4 linked regions of the Caenorhabditis elegans genome follow. The protein of the gene in region 2 purifies or fractionates together with the protein of the main gene of each other region. This does not show direct contact. Each region holds a gene or a part of one and is shown on either strand. Other genes may lie near its edges. The genes, in order: cyn-11, clik-3, usp-3 and ndx-6.

Region 1 (3,233 bases), on a different chromosome or scaffold from region 2:
GATTGCGCGATTTGAGACCGCTTATCTACTAGCCATCGGTGGTGTTTAGTTGAAAGAATGAAGAGAACAGATGAAGTGAAAACGGGAAGATACTGAAAAAGAGAGAACACGAAAAATTAACCTTGGAAACGATACGAATCAGCATTTGATGTTCACAAGTGATAGCTTCAAAATTTAATAAACTTTCGAGAATTGGCATTAGGAAGAAATAGGAAATTATCACAAGAGGAAGAAGCTGCAACTGATACCGGGAAAAAAGTGAAGAGACATTTTAAAAAATTAGAACTTACTCTTGCTTCAAATTGTTCCAGAGTTTTCACGATTTTTTTGTTCTTTGTCCTTGCATTCTCCTCATTGAATTCTAAAACTGTTTCCACCTAAAACTTTTCATTATTTTAATTATTCTTTCAATTCGTTTACCTCGACAGTTTCTTCTTTTTCTTCCTCATCTTCATCGTCGTCGTCAAATAAATCAGCAATGGCAGCTGTCGATTTGTCGATTTGTTTTTGACGAGTCAACGCATCTTCCTCTTCGAGTTGAGCATCTTCCATTTCTTCTTCACGCATTCCGCCCCAATCTTTATCCACGAATCCAGTTCCATAGAAATCTTTCCTCTTTTTACCCCATTTGTTGTCCGTGATATCTTAAATAAATTACGTTAATCAGGTAATTCAGAAAGAAAACTACCATTAACATCGTCATCATCAAAGTCGGATCCATCGTCTTCACTGCTATCCGATGCTTCTGCTTCAACGTTTAACACCTCTTCTGGACGATTGAATGTTTTTCTTTTGTGAATAGCACCCTTTTCGACTTTTCTGTCTTTGTTATGAAAAGTATTGATTTCATCAATGAGATCATCATTTTCGTCTTCGTATGAGATATGAGCAGATCTGAAAATATATTTAATGATTATTTATAAATTGTGAAAAACATTCAACTTACGCTTTCCCCTTCCTTGATGACATAGTTCTAGTATCTGAAATCCAAAAATTAGCAATTTATAGCATTTTCAACAGAGAAACGGATTGCACCGACCGAAAATAAACCAAATTCTGATTTTCAAATCAATGAATAACTCTAATAAAGTTAATTATGCTTTAATCGTGTGATAAACTTCGATAAATTAATTTTTAAATGAATAGAACGAACTTTTACAAGATAAATTATTCAAAAATTGAATTTTCGAGTTGAATTTGAGAAAAGACGGGGGAAAATTATTAGCGGCAGGGCTTTGTGGGCGGGGTTTCTGATTGCAAACTACCCGCGCACTTTATTATTGTTCTATACACCCATTTAATGCTCACCTTTTTTTGTTTTGAATAGAACGAATATCACTTTTTTCTTGAATATGTCGAATTTTATTGACGAATTTGTATTTCTTGGTTATAAAACTTATGAACGATTAGTTCAGTTGATCCCATTATTCTCGGAAAAACCTGACACATTTCGAAAATACTTATTTCGAATACTTACAGAAAACGTTTTTCTGGTTTTAAAAACTAACTCATTTATATGTTTTCTTTTTCAGAATGACTGAATACGACAAGTTTGCCGAGCAGCTCCGTCATCCGGATAACCCAATCGTTTTTCTAGAAGTTACCGCCGGTGGTGCACCAATCGGAACTATTGTTGTAAGTTGACGACCATTCCAGTTTTAATTTGCTATATATTTCATAATTTTTCAGATCGAGTTATTTGCTGATGTAACACCGAGAACTGCTGAAAACTTTCGTCAGTTCTGTACAGGAGAATACAAAAAAGATGGTGTCCCAAACGGATACAAAAACTGCACATTTCATCGTGTGATCAAGGACTTTATGATTCAGGGTGGCGACTTCTGCAACGTAAGTTTAACAATTTTAAATTTTAAAGTTATATCATTTTTTCAGGGCGATGGAACCGGTTTGATGAGCATCTATGGTTCAAAGTTCCGTGACGAGAATTTCGAGCTGAAGCACATAGGACCAGGAATGCTTTCGATGGCTAACGCTGGCTCTGACACAAATGGTTGTCAGTTTTTTATCACTTGCGCAAAAACCGATTTCCTTGACAACAAACATGTAGTTTTTGGTAATTTTTTTTTATTTCAAATTCACGGATAAGTTGATTTCTGTAGTACAAAGAAAGAAGAATACGGATTGTGATTGTGATAAATGTCTCCAACGTCATTAGTTCTCCATCCCAATCCCCTGAAAGCAGTGTTTTAAAAAGAAAATCGCAAATTTTAATGATACCCACTGATAATGTTGGTGATACATTGATGGTGCCATAGTTGTTGTTTTATACTGATTATATGGGTTGAACATGCCAGCGTTAGCATACAATAAAGGAAGTAATGTTTGCAATGAAACGCATTTTAAAAAGAAAAAAATTAGAACGAGAATGCGTGTCATCGTCTAGCTAAAACAACTAGATTTCCTTATATCCTTATCACCTTTTATACGAGATAAAGCTAGTTAATGACGCCATTGATATGTTTGATATTTCTGACCGATCGTTTATTGCAGGACGAGTACTCGATGGAATGCTGACGGTTCGGAAAATCGAAAATGTTCCAACTGGAGCCAATAACAAGCCGAAACTTCCGATTGTTGTTGTTCAATGTGGCCAACTCTAATTTTCACTGTATTGTTATTTTGATCTCGTTTTGTTATATTCACAATAAACTATTAATTACTTCTGATTATATGGGTTGAAAAATGAAATGAAAAGACAGTATAAGTGACTGTTAGTATATCTGGTTCAGTTTTAAAAGCGAAGTAAAGAAAATAAACCTTCAAAATCGAATACTTTCAGAATAAATGCTCGAAACCAACGTGGATCAGAAGTCGTTCAAATTCAAGATCGTGTTGCTCGGCGAAGGATGTGTTGGTAAATCATCACTTGTGCTTCGATTCGTTGAAAATAAATTCAGCTGCAAACACCTGTCGACGATTCAGGTAATAATTTAGAAAAAGGTTGCGATAGATAATCCAAAAAAATATTTCTGGGTTTTTCTTCATTCAGTTATCAAGATTTTGATATGCATATAAAATATTTTCCAATTGTTCTTCATATTGCAGGCAAGCTTCCAAAACAAAACTGTGAATGTAGAAGACTGCCAAGCTGACCTACACATCTGGGATACCGCTGGACAGGAGAAATACCACGCACTCGGTCCAATCTACTATCGAGGAAGCAATGGCGTGCTACTGGTTTTCGATATCACTGATAGAAAGTCATTTGAAAA
Region 2 (6,680 bases):
AATGTCAGTTGGTCCGTTTCCCCCATCCGACACTTTTTTCTGTTATTGTCGTCATTTCAAAGGACCTCGGAAAAACAGATGAAAAGACAAAACACAGCCAACTTCCTGTCGGGAGGGGGGAAGCTCTTGATCTCCGATTAGCTATTCTCAAAGTTTGCGAGTTTTTAACATGAGACAGACACCACACAAAGACAGGCTACAAAAGTTACCGAAAAATGGGGGAAATCAAGTCATGGATGATGTCATCGTATTGGGAAAAGAAGCGAAAATTTTTGAAAATTTGTAGTTAGAATTAAAGCGATTTTTAAAGCCGGCAAGTCGGCAAACCGGAAATTTGCCGGAATTGAAACTTTCCGGCAAATCGGCAAACCGGCAAATTGTCGGAATTGAAATTTTTCCGCAAATTGGCGAATTGGCAAACCGGCAATATGCCGGAATTGAAAAATTCCGGCAAAACGGCAAACCGACAAACTGCTGGAATTGAAAATTTCCGGCAAATCGGCAAACCGGCAATTTACCGGAATTGAACATTTCCAGCAAATCGAAAATCCGGCAAATTGGCAAACCGGCAAACTGCAAACTGAAAATGGTAGCTAATATCGAAATATTTATATGGTACAATATTTTTTAAAGAAAACTGCCAAGTTCATTCTAAAATTACCGATTATCATAATAAAACTGTTCGACAAATTTTAGAAATTCCTTTATTTCGGGTCTTTTGCTGTTCGGCAAATCGGCAAATTGCCGGTTTGTCGATTTGCCGGAAACTTTCATTTTCGGCAAATTGACGGTTTGCCTATTTGTCAAAAATGTTCAATTCCGACAGTTTTGCCGGTTTGCCGATTCGCTCGAAATTTTGAATTCCGGCAATTCGCCGGTTTGCCGATTTGCCGGAAATTTTCAATTCTTGCAAATCGCCGGTTTGCCGATTTGCCGAAAATTTTGAATTCCGGCAATTCGCCGATTTGCCAAAAATTTCAATTTCCGACAATTTGCCAATTTTCCGATTTGCCGGCAAAAATCGTTCGCCGCCACCCCTGCTCAATATTTTGGCTAGTTGCAAAGGTATCGAAAAGTTGTCAGCTAACAAACTGTAGAAAAAAGTATTTCGATCATTTTTGTAGTGAACCACATTCTGATAAAACTATACCTCACAGAGATATAAACTGCCAAAATGCACCGGAAGTAAAATAATATGTTTTTTGGGCAAAGGACATCTGGATCACATTCCGCCGATTTTCACATCATCTGTTTCATATTTTCAAAAAAAAGGTTCAAGAGTCTGTGTGACTCAAAATATGTATTATTTCGCATTTCAAAGAGTGAATCAGCACGTCTCTACCCTCCTCACTTTCTCCACTCGCTGTACCATTTTTTTGTGTCTACCACGATTGAAACAAGTGCTTGTGGGTGTATTCTCAAACCAACTTCGATCGGGGCGTCCCACGCCCCTTCGAGACTCTACACAGCATCCCGGAGACGCAGATCGTCTCAGCAAGCCGAACGCGGGCTCCGCCCACTTTCTTGCGGAGCACTACCCCTTTTTGCTGGCAGTTAGTAACCCCCATCTCGGAAGCACACACAATCTATTCGAATAATGACTTCCCCAGTACCACCAACTCATCAAGGTGAGTCATGTTTTTATTTTTAAATTTTAATCTCATTTTCTTAATTAGTCTTGCATCTGACTTTGGTAGCTCATATCTCGGTTAATTTACAAAATATTGAAAATTTTGTTACTATCAGATCATAGAATAAGGAATGATATATATTTCGCCAGTTGAAAACTTTTTGATAAAATCAGAAACTACCGAGATATATATGCGTAATCAAAGTTAGAGTTCCAACTTCGATGCACCGTGTTCTTTTATCAACATTTTAGCAGCAAATATCTCGGCTTATTTTGAAATGTTCTCAACTACAAAATTGTAGAAAAAAACCTGCAACATTTTTTAAAATTTGAAAGTTATTGATAAAATCCAAAACTACTGAGATCTAGGCTGTCAAAGTTGTTCCACGCCGTCGATGCACCATGTACCACTATCAACTTTGGTAGCTAATATCTCGGCTTATTTTGAAGTTATTAAAAATGGTCTCAAATACAAAACTATAGAAAAGAGTCTGCAAACATTTAAAAAAAAATTAAAATTTATTGAAAAAGATCGAAAACTATCAACTTAATATCTCGGCCAATCTGAAGTAAAAAAAAAACGTAAAAACTACTAAACTATAAAAAAGTAATAATGAGTAATTCTAAATTCAAATAATAATTTAAAATTTTCAGAAGCTGGCCTCAAAATTGCCGCCGTCGAGGTGCCAAGCAATGAACAATTGGAGAGGAGAACTCGTGATGGTATGTTTTATTGTTTTTTATACTTTAAAAGGCATGTTTAGCATATGGATAGTTTTACTACATCCCTCATACTTTTTTAATTTTTATTTATTTAAATTTTAAAAAAAGTTCACCTACAAAAATCTAGAGATAAATCCAACTAGACCTATCCAATTTGCATGTTTGTTATATTTTCGGCAAATACTATATAATTTTTTGTCTAACCAAACATGGTAATATAAAACCCATTATTATTAAAAATTCTGCTTGGAAAAATCTAGGGTAAACAATGATAGAAAATGCATCCTTATGAAAAAAGGTAATAAAAATATAATTTTTTCACGGCTTATATCTTACTTGTCGTTTTTTTTATTTTAAAAATTATCAACTAACAAAATATTTTTGATTTCATTTTCTTTCGTTTGTAGTTGATTTGTTTTTGATATCTAGAAAATGAACCGAGTTATAATTTTTCAAAGTGAAGTTGTGGAGTATAGGAAAAACGGAATTTTTTTATTAGCAGAGCAGAGCCTAGAAGTAGCTTCAGAGCAAAATGGAAAGGCCTGAACAAAAACCGGACGCTTAAAATTTCCAGCAAATGGCAGCCAAATTTTGACGATTTTTAAACATTAGATTTTGCTGAAATATTAATTTGGAGCGGATTTTTAAATATTAATTCTACAAATAATCTAGGAAGTTCCCATTTTTCTACCAATTTCTCCACGCAACCCCCCAACTTTTGCAGGAAAATGGACACTTCGTCAACTCCGTCAGACTGATGCAATGGTGCCACTTCAATCCGGAACTAACCAGTTTGACAGTCAACGAGTGAGTTTTGAGGGGAAGGCTATATCTATCCTTCAATCAAAAAAAAACAGTAAACTTAGAGACTCAAGAGAATAAGAGTCTTATCTCTGTCAATATATCCAAACAAACCGCAGCATTTATTGGGGGTCGGGAAAGGGAGAGTGTATTTCGGGGAGCCGTGGGAAGGTTCAATAGTTGAACTTTTAGAAGGTTAATTTGTTGTGGAAATTTTGAAAAAAAATTGGGAAAAAATGGGGGTAAAAGGGATTTTTTGAGAAAACCGAAGAACGAAAATTTTCGATTTTTGGAAAAATTGAAAAATTGAAAATGTTTAGTACATATTTTCGCAAAATTGTATGAAAAACATTTTTCATTTTCAATTTTTTTTTCGGTGAAATCTAATGTCATAAGATTTATGCGTGTTTTTAAAAATTTTTTCGATCTCCATAAATTTTGAAAACCGTATTATATAATGGTGTGTGACGTCACACTTTTCAAATATAAATTTCCCGCGATTTCTAGTAGTACAGTAAAGCTACAGTAACCCTACAGTAATCCTACAGTACCTCTATATGTTTTGAATTTCCCGCCAACATTTTTTCTGGAAATTTAGATTTCTTGTCAAAATTTTTTTTGGGGAAAATTCAAATACTCTCAGACAATATTTTGGCGGGAGTTTAAAATATATTATCTTCTAAAATTTTGAACTTTTCGCCAATCCCTAGATTAAGCTTTTGTTGTTACTGTTAAAAAAGCTATGTAATTCTGTGCCCAAAAATGTTACGTTTTTTACAAGTATGCTTTGCCGTGAGCCCACTGTAGTTTTGTCTTTAAACACACTTAACTTTAACAGAGCATATCTCGGTTGTCTTTGATGTTATCAAAAAAGTGTTAACTGACAAAATACAGGCCAAACTGCCTTCTACAATTTTGTAATTAAAACTTTTTGACATCTTGACAACTGAAAAAGTTATAAGCTGTCAAAGTAGGCCCTAAATTGTAGCTTAACAAGTGTCCTTGTCTTATGTGTCCGTACATATATGTGTTTTGTTGTGAATTTCAGGGAAAAACTGGGTTTGGAATGCCACGTAACACACAAACCAAAGTCGATTTTGCCGATCATGACAAGCAATGGCTAATTGAGGAACAGAAGCAATATTCCGATGCGATTGTTCGACTTCAGTCAGGAACGAATCAATTTGAATCTCAAAAGGTTTGAATTTTGGAATTTTGGAACTTTCTAATTTTTTTTTGAATGTCGCATGTTGAACCTATATGTTTATTAAATTTGCTAATTCTAGAGCTTTCAAATTTCAAATTTTATTCAGAAAAAATGCGAAATAAACCCTTTTTAAAGCGGTATGGCTTAGGAAAAATTCGACCGCCAGGATTTTTTGAAATTTGAAAAAAAATGTTTGAGAAACAGCTTTTGGTAATAATGACCGAATTGTTCTTTTTTGTCGGCCACGCAGCTGTGCGTTGTGGCCTAGAAACCGAGAAAGCTAGGCCACAGGCCAAATAGCCTAGAAACACAGAAGAACCATAATGACGTGGCCTAGAAAATAAAAATTCGGCCATTGAGAGATTTTCGAGCAATTTTTTATGAAAATCAGTTTTATTAGAGTGACCGAGTTTTTTCACGACCCCATTGAAAATTACGTGACCTAGAAAACAAAAAACTCGGCTTGAGCCAAACAAAAGCCCTTCGCCGTGTTTGTTCATTTTTAGGCCACGTGGCAGAGACTCATGGACGTAAAAATGACTAAACTCGGCCATAGTGTTTTGAATTGAAAATCGTTCGTTTCTGAACTCATCTCGGTGGCCGAATTTTCTCTTCCACGGCCACATAGCAAATTTTTGAATTTTTTTAAAATTAGAAGCCATTAAATAGGATACTTTAAATATTTCCGCATCCACGTGTCACTTTACCTAACCCCCTTTTTCTCAATTTATGTGCGTGTTTGTGCCTGATTTGTGTCCATTTCCAGGGAAAAACCGGCTTCGGAATGCCACGAAACACGCAGACAAAAGTTGAATTCGCGGAGCACGGAGCCCGATGGGCTGTAGCTGACAACGCGGCTCACGACTCAATTGTCCGTCTTCAATCCGGAACGAATCAATATGAAAGTCAAAAGGTTCCGTTTTTTTTCTATGTTAATGAATGCATTGTCCCACGTCTTGTTCCCCACGTTTGGTCCCTGATTTTTAGAGGAAAAGTTTGGAAAAAAATGGAGAGAAGGTTCTTCACTTCTTATTAGATCCCTTGGGAAATGGTGAAATGTTGGATGGAATTCTGGGATGGGGTTCAATTTAGAGTTGCATTTGGTCTTGAAAGATCAGAGTTCGTAAAAGTTTGATAATTCTTTTGTAGTACTATATTATAAATCTGATAAAATTTGAAATGGATGATAAGGTTTTCTAGTCCAAAAGGTTAAGCAGCAGACCAGTTTGAATGCGTCAATAAATGAGTTGTTCAGTTATATAATCAGTGGTTGCCTGTCCCCCCATTCCCCTCTGATTCTCATGTTTACTTTCGGATTAGTAGTAGTAGTTTTCTCCCCACTGTGCACTTTTTCGCAACGTTTTTTTCGTTTCAAACAAACCAAAATGAAAGAAAAGAAAATTTTCGAAATTATATATATTTTTTGAAATTTTCCAGGGAATGACCGGTTTCGGAACACCACGTGACGTCAAGGGAAAGCATTTGAAGAGAATTTGGGAGCTCGAGTTCCCGGAGGAAGCCGCCGATTTTCAACAGCAACCAGTGAATGCTCAACCACAAAATTAAATTGTTTTATTCATAAAATTTCCCTTTTCTGCTTTTAAACAATTGTTTTCTCCGTTTTTTGTAGATTTTGCCACGCCCTGTCTCTAGTTCACTTTACTTGCAATATTCCATCAACCAGAAGGCAAGACCCTCCAAAATGTACTCACATCACTCGATATACAACTTCTTCTTGTTTCTTACGAGTAAATATTTTTGCAAAATAATTCACGCTTTTATCTACCTATAACTTCTATATTGAGGTGGGCAAACGATTTTTTTCTGGCAAATCGGCAAATTGGCAAATTGCGGGAGTTGAAAATTTCCGACAAACCGGCAACTTGCCGGAATTGAAAATTTTCTAAAAATCGGCAAACCGGCAACTTGCCGGAATTGAAAATTTTCGGCAAATCGACAATCCGGCAAATTGTCGGAATTGAAAATTTTCTAAAAATTGGCAAACTGGCAAATTGGCGGAATTGAAAATTTCCGGCAAATCAGCAAATCGGCAAATTGGCGGAATTGAAAATTTCCGGCAAATCGGCAAATCGGCAAATTGGCGGAATTGAAAATTTTCGGCAAGTAATTGCCGCCCACCCCTGTCCTGAAAAAATACTGGAAAAATGTAGTTCAAGACGAACTTATTTTCCAGATTTTTCCTGATTGGATAATATACCTTATTTTTTCCAGGTTTTTAGTAGAACTCTATGATAAACGAACTGTATGATAAATTTTCCAAGAAATAGTATTTTTCAAAACTTGTATTCTTCTGAGCAT
Region 3 (4,885 bases), about 11 Mb from region 2:
TTCAGGAGCGCGCTTTATCTTAGCAGAATTAACACAAAAATGGACGACTCCCGTTTAGATGGAACGACTCTTTATAAAAAGGTCACACGAGAGACGCCTTCGGTTGAGTCATACAACTATCAGCCAAGCAAAGAACCGAAAAGCTTTGAAAGCTGCGAAGCCTGCTATCCGCCCCGCAGGCGAAGAACGGATCGACCAAGTACCCTGAGTGGCGTGCCAGGACTCGGAGTAAGCATTCAAAAAAATTAACAACGACAAATGGGTGCAAATATAATTGGTGAGACGAATGGAGTGAACAACAAAAAAAAAAGATTTAAGTTTAACAACAATTTCATTAGGAAACAATAACGAGCAGCAGTATTTACTTCTTGCTGGTCTTCTTGACCTCGGACTCGGAGTGATGGGAAGCCGAAGAGCGTCTGCGGGCGATCTTGGCGTCGTGCTCTTCCTTGGAGTACTTGGCGAGGAGCTTGTGGTAGGCAGCGGCGTCATCGCGCATCTTGATCTTCTGGTTGCGCTTCTGGCGGAGAAGGTACTTCTTTCTGGCGATACGAGCTGGGGTGATGAGACGCTGGATCTTTGGTGCGATGGTCTTGGTGACTCCTGGAAATTTAGACAGTTAAAAACTAAATTTAAAGAGAATATTGAAGAAACTCACCATCTGGGAAGGTCTTGTCGTGGGTGATGACGTATTTGGTGACATCGTCGTGCTTGGTCAAGTTGAAGAGCTTGCGGATCTTGGAGGCTCTCTTTGGTCCGAGCTTGCGTGGGAGAACGGAGTCGGTGAGTCCTTCGATCTCTCCATCTCCCTTCTTCACGATGACGAGGGAAAGAGCGGACATGTTGGCGTCGACGATGCATCCACGGACGGACTTTCTCTTGCGCTCTCCGTTCTTGCGCTCACGGTAGCAGGATTGTCCCTTCTTCAAGAGAAGACGAACACGTCCGTTGGTGAGAATTCCTTGCTTCATTGGGAATCCCTGCTTGTCGTTTCCTCCTCCGATTCTGACGACATATCCCTGGAAAAAAGCAACTCGTTTGAAAGAGCCGAGAATCGGTTCAAAAACAAAAACTGGGACTCTCAATGTATGTCTAGTCACAGCCATTTCAGCGAAGAAAAAGCACGTGAAACAATGAGGATTTGACACAGAAACATCACTTCGTTTCTGTGTTTTTGGGTGACTCGCTAACCTTCCACTCGTCACCGAGAGCATCGATGGCGACCTCCTGGGACATGCGCTTCTCGAAGAAGAGGCGAAGCTTCTTCTCCTCATCGACCTCGAACGACTTTTGGAGCCCGGTGGCTGGGTAGGCGAAGTTAAGTCTCATCGCTCAAATATTATTACCTGCAAGAAGAAAAACATTGGAAATGAGTTAACGGGGTGAGAAAAGGAGAAACTGAAGCGAAAAACGAAAACATGGGCCTAAAACTAATAAATTTGATTTTCCAAGCAAATATCCTGCGAAATGTGGAGGAAAACTATCAGGAAAACATTTAAAATTTTGAAAATTCGAAAAAAAAACCGAAAAGTTCGCCTAAAAATGAGAAATTCACCCAAAAATTCGAGGGAAAAATGAAAAAAGGAGCGAAAACTTTTTAGGCCAACGACAATTCCAGTTTAAAGGCGCACGCCCTTCGTGGCGAGACCCATCCCCCATCCGCCTCGTCGTCTGCTGCACCCCACCTTTCCCACACTATCTCGTCCGATGGATTTTATTTTTTTCCAAACTTTTCCGATTTTCCGACTCGATTTTCGGTTTTTCTTCGATTTCCGCCGAAAATTTGCTGTTTTTCTTGATTATCGATTTTTTATCCGCGTTTTAAGTGCCAAAACTTTGCTCTCACACTCAAATTGACTGATTTTCGAATTTTTTCAGATGCTTTGCACCCATATAAAGGCGGAAGATTGTGTGGAGCGTGTGCCCAAGGGGATGTTCCGCAAGAAACAGGACATGGAGGACAATAATTTGTTCTTGGAGGGAAATTCGAATCGTGGGAAGGTGGTGAAGTGAGTTTTTTTGAGAAATTTGGCTAGAAAATGGCTAAAAAAAGCTAAAAATAGCTTTAAAAACTCGTTTTTCTTCCAGAAACCAGGAAATAATTAAAACCTTCTGCGACGAATGCGATAATTGCAATAAATCGCTGATGTGCCTCACTTGCGGACGAATTCTGTGCGGAAGAAACGACTCGGGCCACGCTTTGCATCATTTTGAAGAAACCAGCCACCCAGTCGTCATTGATTGCATTTCTTTCGAGCTTTACTGCTATTCCTGTGATGATGAAGTGTCACTGGACTTTGAGCCATCTTTATATGGAGTTCTAAAATCGCTGAAGCTCCTTTTCGACCGGGAAGACGTTATGGAGGGAGGCGACGGGCCGACTATACCGGCACAGCCTTTTCAGTGCGTATTTTTCGAGGAAAATGGACTAAAAATTGGTTAAAAACCGATATTTTATCGATAAACCCTGCTAGAAATCGAATTTTCCACTGAAAAACGTTACAGTTCTCGTAAAAATCGTATTTCCCATGAAAAGTCCGATAAATTGCGATTTTCAGTGAAAAAAACGCCAATTTTCCTCAGAAATTCCATTTTTCTCTCTGGAATTTCTGAAAATTTTGATTTTTCAGTCAAAAACGTTCGTTTTCTCATAAAAATTTATTTTTCTTAAAAAAAAAAATGAAAATCCTAATTTTCATCGAAGAAACTTTAATTTTCCATTGGGAAATCATTTTTTCCGCAAAAACTTGAACAGAACCCTATTTTCCTCACGAGAATCACTAAAATTCCGATTTTCAGGTGAAAAAACATCAAAAAATCGTATTTCGCCCTAAGAATCCGAAAAATTCCGATTTTTCGGCAGAAACTCATCAATTTCTGCGATAAAATTCATTTTTCCCACTAAAAAGCCCCTAAATTGTGATTTTTCAGGGGAAAAAACATCAAAAATCCATTTTTCCTCCTAAAAAGCCAAAAAAATCCGATCTTTCAGCACAAAAAACTTCAAAATCCGTTTTTGCACCTAAACAGCCCAAAAATTCCGAATTTTTCAACGTTAACACTTTAAATTTATTTTAGAAAATCAGTTTTCACAATGAAAAAGCCCAAAACTTCCGATTTTTCAGCACAAAAAACATCAAAAAATTCATTTAGCCCACGAAAAATCCGATTTTTCCGTCAAAAACCTCATATTTTTACTAATTTTTCAATGAAAAACCTCCATTTTCTAGAGCAAAATCACATTTTTCTAAAAATATTCAAAAATTCCGATTTTTCAGCCCAAAAAACATCAAATATCCATTTTTCCCACTAAAAATCCACAAAAATTCCTATTTTCAGTAGAAAAATCAATTTTTTCCACTATAAATGTTCAAAAATGCGCGGTTTTTCAATAGAAAAACGTAACAATAACTCAATTTCCCACTTAAAAGCTCCCAAACGTTGATTTTTCAGCGTTAAATCTTCAAATTTAATTCAGAAAATCAGTTTTTCAACCAAAAAGCCCCAAAATTCCCATTTTTCAGCAGCACAAAAACATTAAAAAATCCAATTTTCCATATAAAAACTTCCGTTTTCTAGAGCAAAATCACACTTTTCCACCTAAAAATATTCAAAAATTCCGATTTTTCAGCCCAAAAAACATCAAATATCCATTTTTCCACCTAAAAAGCCAAAAAATTCCGATTTTCCACTCAAAAATCCTCAATTTTCTTTCAGAACAGTGACCTCAGTCGCCTCAACATTCACCCAAAAGCTCCACGTGGCTCCAGCTTCTCGAAATTCGAAGAAAAAACGTGGAAAAAAGGGAAAAGTCAGTCCAATGTTCGTCGATACACCACCATTCCAGCAGCAGCAGGGAGCCGCCGTAATTCATGACGTCACACTATCATCCACAAATTCTACGTCATCGGGGTCCGGCGGTGCCACGTCATCATCTGAAATTGCCTATAGGCCACGTGGAATGCGAAATGTTGGAAATACGTGCTTTATGAATGCCGTTTTACAAGCATTAGCGTACGTTTTTCACCTCGAAAGTGTGAAAAATTGGCTTTTTTGAGCCGAAATACATGAAAATCGGCCATTTTTGACCCTGAAAATGCGAAATTCATGCGCGAAAATCGGGTGTTTTCCGCCCCTTGAGAGTGAAAAATTGGTGAAAAACGCGATTTTTGACCCTAAAAATTGAGAATTTCATCGAAAATGAGCAGAAATTGTGATTTTTCCGTGAAAATTGTTAGGAAAACGCAAAAATTAGTTTATATTTTGCGTTTTTTAGTTGAAAATTGCAAAATTCTGCAGAAAACCACGGAAAACTCGTGAATTGTGCGTTTTCCGGTCTTAAAATTTAAAAAAAAAACCCGAAAAATGCGTAAAATTTCCTGTTTTAACGTCAAAAATTTTTCTTTTTTAAGCATTAGCGTACGTTTTTCACCTGGAAAGTGTGAAAAATTGGTGAAAAACGCGATTTTTGACCCAAAAAATCGGGAAAATCATCGAAAATTAGCCGAAATTGTGATTTTCACGTGAAAAATGCAGTTTTCTAGCAGTGAAAGGCTATTTTTCATGGAAAATGCCTCATTTTTTCAATAAAAATCGTAAATTTTACGTTTTTAACGCTAAAAATGCGTAAAATTCACCTTTTGAGGTTCAAAAATCCATTTTTTTTTGGCAATTTTTTCTGAAAATTGTATTTTTATAGCGAAAATTGCGTAAATTTCAACTAAAAATTTGAATTTTTGCCCTAAAAATGATATAAAATGTGTGATTTCACAGAAAAATGCCGATTTTTAATCCAAATACCGATTTTCATGGAAAATTTAACTTTTTCACCTAAAAAATGTCGTTTCTGCAGGTTTTGTTACAAAAATCCTATTTTAATTTCAAT
Region 4 (3,363 bases), on a different chromosome or scaffold from region 2:
TAATTTGAATTTCGCGCACTAATTAGTTTTGAAAATTCTCGGCCGTGTACTCCTCTCGGGCAATGAATCAATTAATTTTTTTGGATGCAATTTTTCGGGTTTTCTCATTGAATTCTATTGGTTTTTGTTTGAAAACAAATATATATATATATATATATGCGTCTGTAAATGCGTTTCAAATTAATTATCACACAAATACTTTTGTTCTGCCTAGGAATAAGTGCTAAAATCCTGTAATATATTCATTTTCCCCTTTATCGTTGAATAATAAGTATGATCATGTTCTAAAAGTGTTTGAAATCCAAAGTGTTTGATTTTTTACTTTATTTTTGCTATCATAAAGCAAAATTTTTTTTTTTTCGTGAAAAAATACCTTTGAAAAACAGAAAAAAAAGCAAAAAAAAAGTCCAGCACTGTTTTGTGGCCTTTTCATTCTATACAGAAAATTTATAAATTCATTTAAAATTTTGTTTTCAAGTATTCTGACTAAATAGACCAGAATGTTTAGTCTTCACTCAAATTCCCTAAAAATGTTGAAAATTGCAGAGCTTTGATGACAAAAACCAAAAGGGTGGAGACAAGCTTGAGGGAATCAAACTCGAATACACTCTACTCCTGACCAGTCAACTTGAGGATCAACGGAAATATTTTGAAGGTCTACGTCACGATATGGAGCAAACGATGTCAAAAATGGAGAAAACTGCTTATGCTCAAGTAGAGAATCTCGAGCATCAACTGACGGAACGATCAACTGAATTGAAATCATTAAAAGGAGATTTAGATGATACTGTGACGGCGAGAAAAGTGGCAGAGAAACGAGCAACGCAGACAAATGAAAAAGTGAATAAGCTTGCAAATGAGTTGAAAGATGAACGTGAAATAAATCAAATGTTGAGAAAAGATCAGCAAGTGTGGAAAGGTCAAGTGGAAAAGCTTATTGAAAGTCAGAAAACTGCTCGAACCGAGTATGAAAAGGTATTCGTCTAAATAGATTCCCTTGATCTCTTGAAAGCTTTTCTTTTCAGAAAATCGAAGATCTTCAGTCACAAGTCAATGATCTTTTGATGCATTTTGAAACTCAAAATAAGCTGAAAGAGCAGTTGGATGCTGGAAAAATAACTCAAGAGGTTGGTTAACCAATGCTCGCCACAATAAAAATGTTTAATTTACAGGAAATAACTGAAAGTCAAGTTGAACTCGATTCGTCGTCCTCCTCGTCGAGAAAATTGAACAGAAAGAAGAAAAAGTAGTTGGCATCTCAGGAGATCCATGTCCTATTTAATTTTTGCATATTGAACATTTCTTTAATAGTCTTTTCATATATGGTTAGTCTCACTTGAATATTTATTCGCTTTCTTTCGCGTATCTCATCGAATTTTGTGCGGTATATATGTATGCAGCCGGTAGTTTATTTAATGCATTCGCTTATGAATAAAATGATATCGTTCGAGTGTCTTTTGGTTTCATATTATGTACCATGTTTTCAATCGTTATTAAACGACGAGTCAAAAACTATTTTTCGAATTCCCTCCTCTTTCCTTGCTGACACATTTTCGGTGCTGACGCAACTCTTGTGTTCACTAAGAACGCACACTTCGTTTTAAACGTCTCCGCTGGCCATCATTCTTGTTTCCTTCGATTTTTCTCGATACTTATCTTTTACAAATTATTTTCTCTTTTTTTCAAGATTTCCATCAACTTTTAATATCACTGCTCTCATAATTTCTCGAAACTCTTCGTATTTCTCTAATTCAAAAGTTTTCTGCCGCATTTTTACACTCACTAACCAAGATTATCGATTTTTGGGCAATTTATGACAATTTGGAATCATCTTTTGTGTCGTCCGATAATGAGTTTCGTTCATCAAAAATGCAGAAATATCGGTATAAACAATGTATTAATCTAACATTAAATACAAATTTAACCTCTAGATACGGTTTACCTTGGTAGTAACATTCACCGACTAAATGTGCCTGATAATCTTGTCAAATGGAGCCAAGAATGGTCAGGATACAATCCTCCGGCTCACACCGATCCAAAAGTTGATGGAGCTGTTTGGGCAGACCCAGAAATCGATGAGAAAACGTTCCAACCGTCTTGGAATGCGATCGATGGGAAAATCAATAGAGTGTCATATGTTTGGTGCGTTTATGAGTGTATATACTCAATCAATCAAGAAACCTTCCAGTCAGTACTCATTTGATCCTGTCACCCTTCGCCCACTAAATCCTATTGGACGTACGGGACTTTCTGGTCGTGGTTTGCTTGGTCGTTGGGGTCCAAACCACGCAGCAGATCCGATCGTTTCTAGAACAAACGACAATGGTGATTTGGAGTTTGTTGCAGTTCAACGTCATGACAATGGCGAGTGGGCAATTCCTGGAGGAATGGTGGATGCTGGAGAGCATGTTTCACAAACTCTACGGCGCGAATTCGCAGAAGAAGCAATGCATGGAATTGTCGATTCTGAAAATCTTGATGAATTGTGGAATAATGGTAAAGAGTTATACAGGTGCATTCACAGCTCTTTTATCCCACTCAATGTTTCATTTACAGAGGTTACGTTGATGACCCACGTAACACTGATAACGCATGGATGGAGACTGTTGTTTTCAATTTTCATGATTCAAAAGGCCTTCTGAAAAATGTGGCTCTTCAAGCAGGAGATGATGCTAAAGCTTTACGCTGGATTGCAGTTAATTCAAATGAGCCACTTTACGCTTCTCATTCTCATTTTATTGATCTTCTAAAAGAATCTCATTCTCATTAACTACCACATGTCTCTCTTTTCTCATGTTCTCCTCTTATTTTCGCGTTTCTGTTAGCTATATTCAATTCATAAATGATTTTCATTTCAGAAATGAGCCGTGGAGGAGGTGGTGATCGTCGTGCCGCACCGGATATCAATGGTCTAACTTCGCTGAAAATCGACAACTTGTCGTACCAAACAACGCCCAACGATTTGCGTCGAACTTTTGAGCGATACGGAGACATTGGAGATGTTCACATTCCAAGGGACAAGTACTCTCGCCAATCGAAAGGATTCGGATTCGTTAGATTTTATGAGTAAGTTAAATTGGAACTATTGGAGAGAAAACATCAGAAAATCAATATTATTTTAGACGTCGTGATGCTGAGCACGCATTGGACCGCACAGACGGAAAGTTGGTTGATGGACGCGAGTTACGTGTGACTCTTGCAAAGTATGATCGACCATCGGATGAGAGAGGAGGCCGTGGAGGTGGTGGTGGACGTAGAAGGTTAGTATACTCAGTTGATTCCCCTTGTAGTTGTGCTCAAAAATTAGGCGCGAGACTTAATGGAACCCTTGTCTTCCTGACTTATTTATAGAACAGCAGCAGA

The links.
Region 1: the proteins of clik-3 (region 2) and cyn-11 fractionate together in Caenorhabditis elegans (co-fractionation; one large-scale study listed by BioGRID). This does not show direct contact.
Region 3: the proteins of clik-3 (region 2) and usp-3 fractionate together in Caenorhabditis elegans (co-fractionation; one large-scale study listed by BioGRID). This does not show direct contact.
Region 4: the proteins of clik-3 (region 2) and ndx-6 fractionate together in Caenorhabditis elegans (co-fractionation; one large-scale study listed by BioGRID). This does not show direct contact.

Annotation. Positions count from the first base shown.
Region 1 is NC_003280.10:8,714,581-8,717,813, reverse strand, and holds cyn-11 (Peptidyl-prolyl cis-trans isomerase 11), read left to right. Parts: upstream 1-1,532; 5' UTR 1,533-1,533; coding exon 1,534-1,635; intron 1,636-1,689; coding exon 1,690-1,848; intron 1,849-1,893; coding exon 1,894-2,074; exon of another isoform or gene 2,075-2,096; coding exon of another isoform or gene 2,097-2,193; intron 2,194-2,242; coding exon of another isoform or gene 2,243-2,397; exon of another isoform or gene 2,398-2,417; intron 2,418-2,511; coding exon 2,512-2,621; 3' UTR 2,622-2,683; downstream 2,684-3,233. Other genes in the region: T01B7.5 (Sas10 C-terminal domain-containing protein), read right to left, coding at 291-377, 421-644, 689-894, 947-969; T01B7.13 (uncharacterized protein), read right to left, coding at 2,097-2,193, 2,243-2,397; Ras-related protein Rab-21, read left to right, coding at 2,806-2,943, 3,067-3,233. UniProt on the Caenorhabditis elegans protein: PPIases accelerate the folding of proteins. It catalyzes the cis-trans isomerization of proline imidic peptide bonds in oligopeptides.
Region 2 is NC_003279.8:3,418,082-3,424,761, forward strand, and holds clik-3 (CaLponIn-liKe proteins), read left to right. Parts: upstream 1-1,518; 5' UTR 1,519-1,597; coding exon 1,598-1,628; intron 1,629-2,284; coding exon 2,285-2,353; intron 2,354-3,077; coding exon 3,078-3,160; intron 3,161-4,202; coding exon 4,203-4,352; intron 4,353-5,127; coding exon 5,128-5,274; intron 5,275-5,798; coding exon 5,799-5,927; 3' UTR 5,928-6,130; downstream 6,131-6,680.
Region 3 is NC_003279.8:13,948,622-13,953,506, reverse strand, and holds the start of usp-3 (Ubiquitin carboxyl-terminal hydrolase), read left to right. Parts: upstream 1-1,876; 5' UTR 1,877-1,878; coding exon 1,879-2,009; intron 2,010-2,088; coding exon 2,089-2,403; intron 2,404-3,717; coding exon 3,718-4,014; intron 4,015-4,885. Other genes in the region: rps-6 (Small ribosomal subunit protein eS6), read right to left, coding at 362-603, 659-1,019, 1,192-1,329.
Region 4 is NC_003280.10:5,388,324-5,391,686, reverse strand, and holds ndx-6 (Putative nudix hydrolase 6), read left to right. Parts: upstream 1-1,805; 5' UTR 1,806-1,849; coding exon 1,850-1,883; intron 1,884-1,931; coding exon 1,932-2,142; intron 2,143-2,188; coding exon 2,189-2,512; intron 2,513-2,556; coding exon 2,557-2,770; 3' UTR 2,771-2,858; downstream 2,859-3,363. Other genes in the region: brap-2 (BRCA1-associated protein homolog 2), read left to right, coding at 547-975, 1,026-1,127, 1,173-1,250; rsp-4 (putative splicing factor, arginine/serine-rich 4), read left to right, coding at 2,861-3,066, 3,123-3,260. UniProt on the Caenorhabditis elegans protein: Probably mediates the hydrolysis of some nucleoside diphosphate derivatives.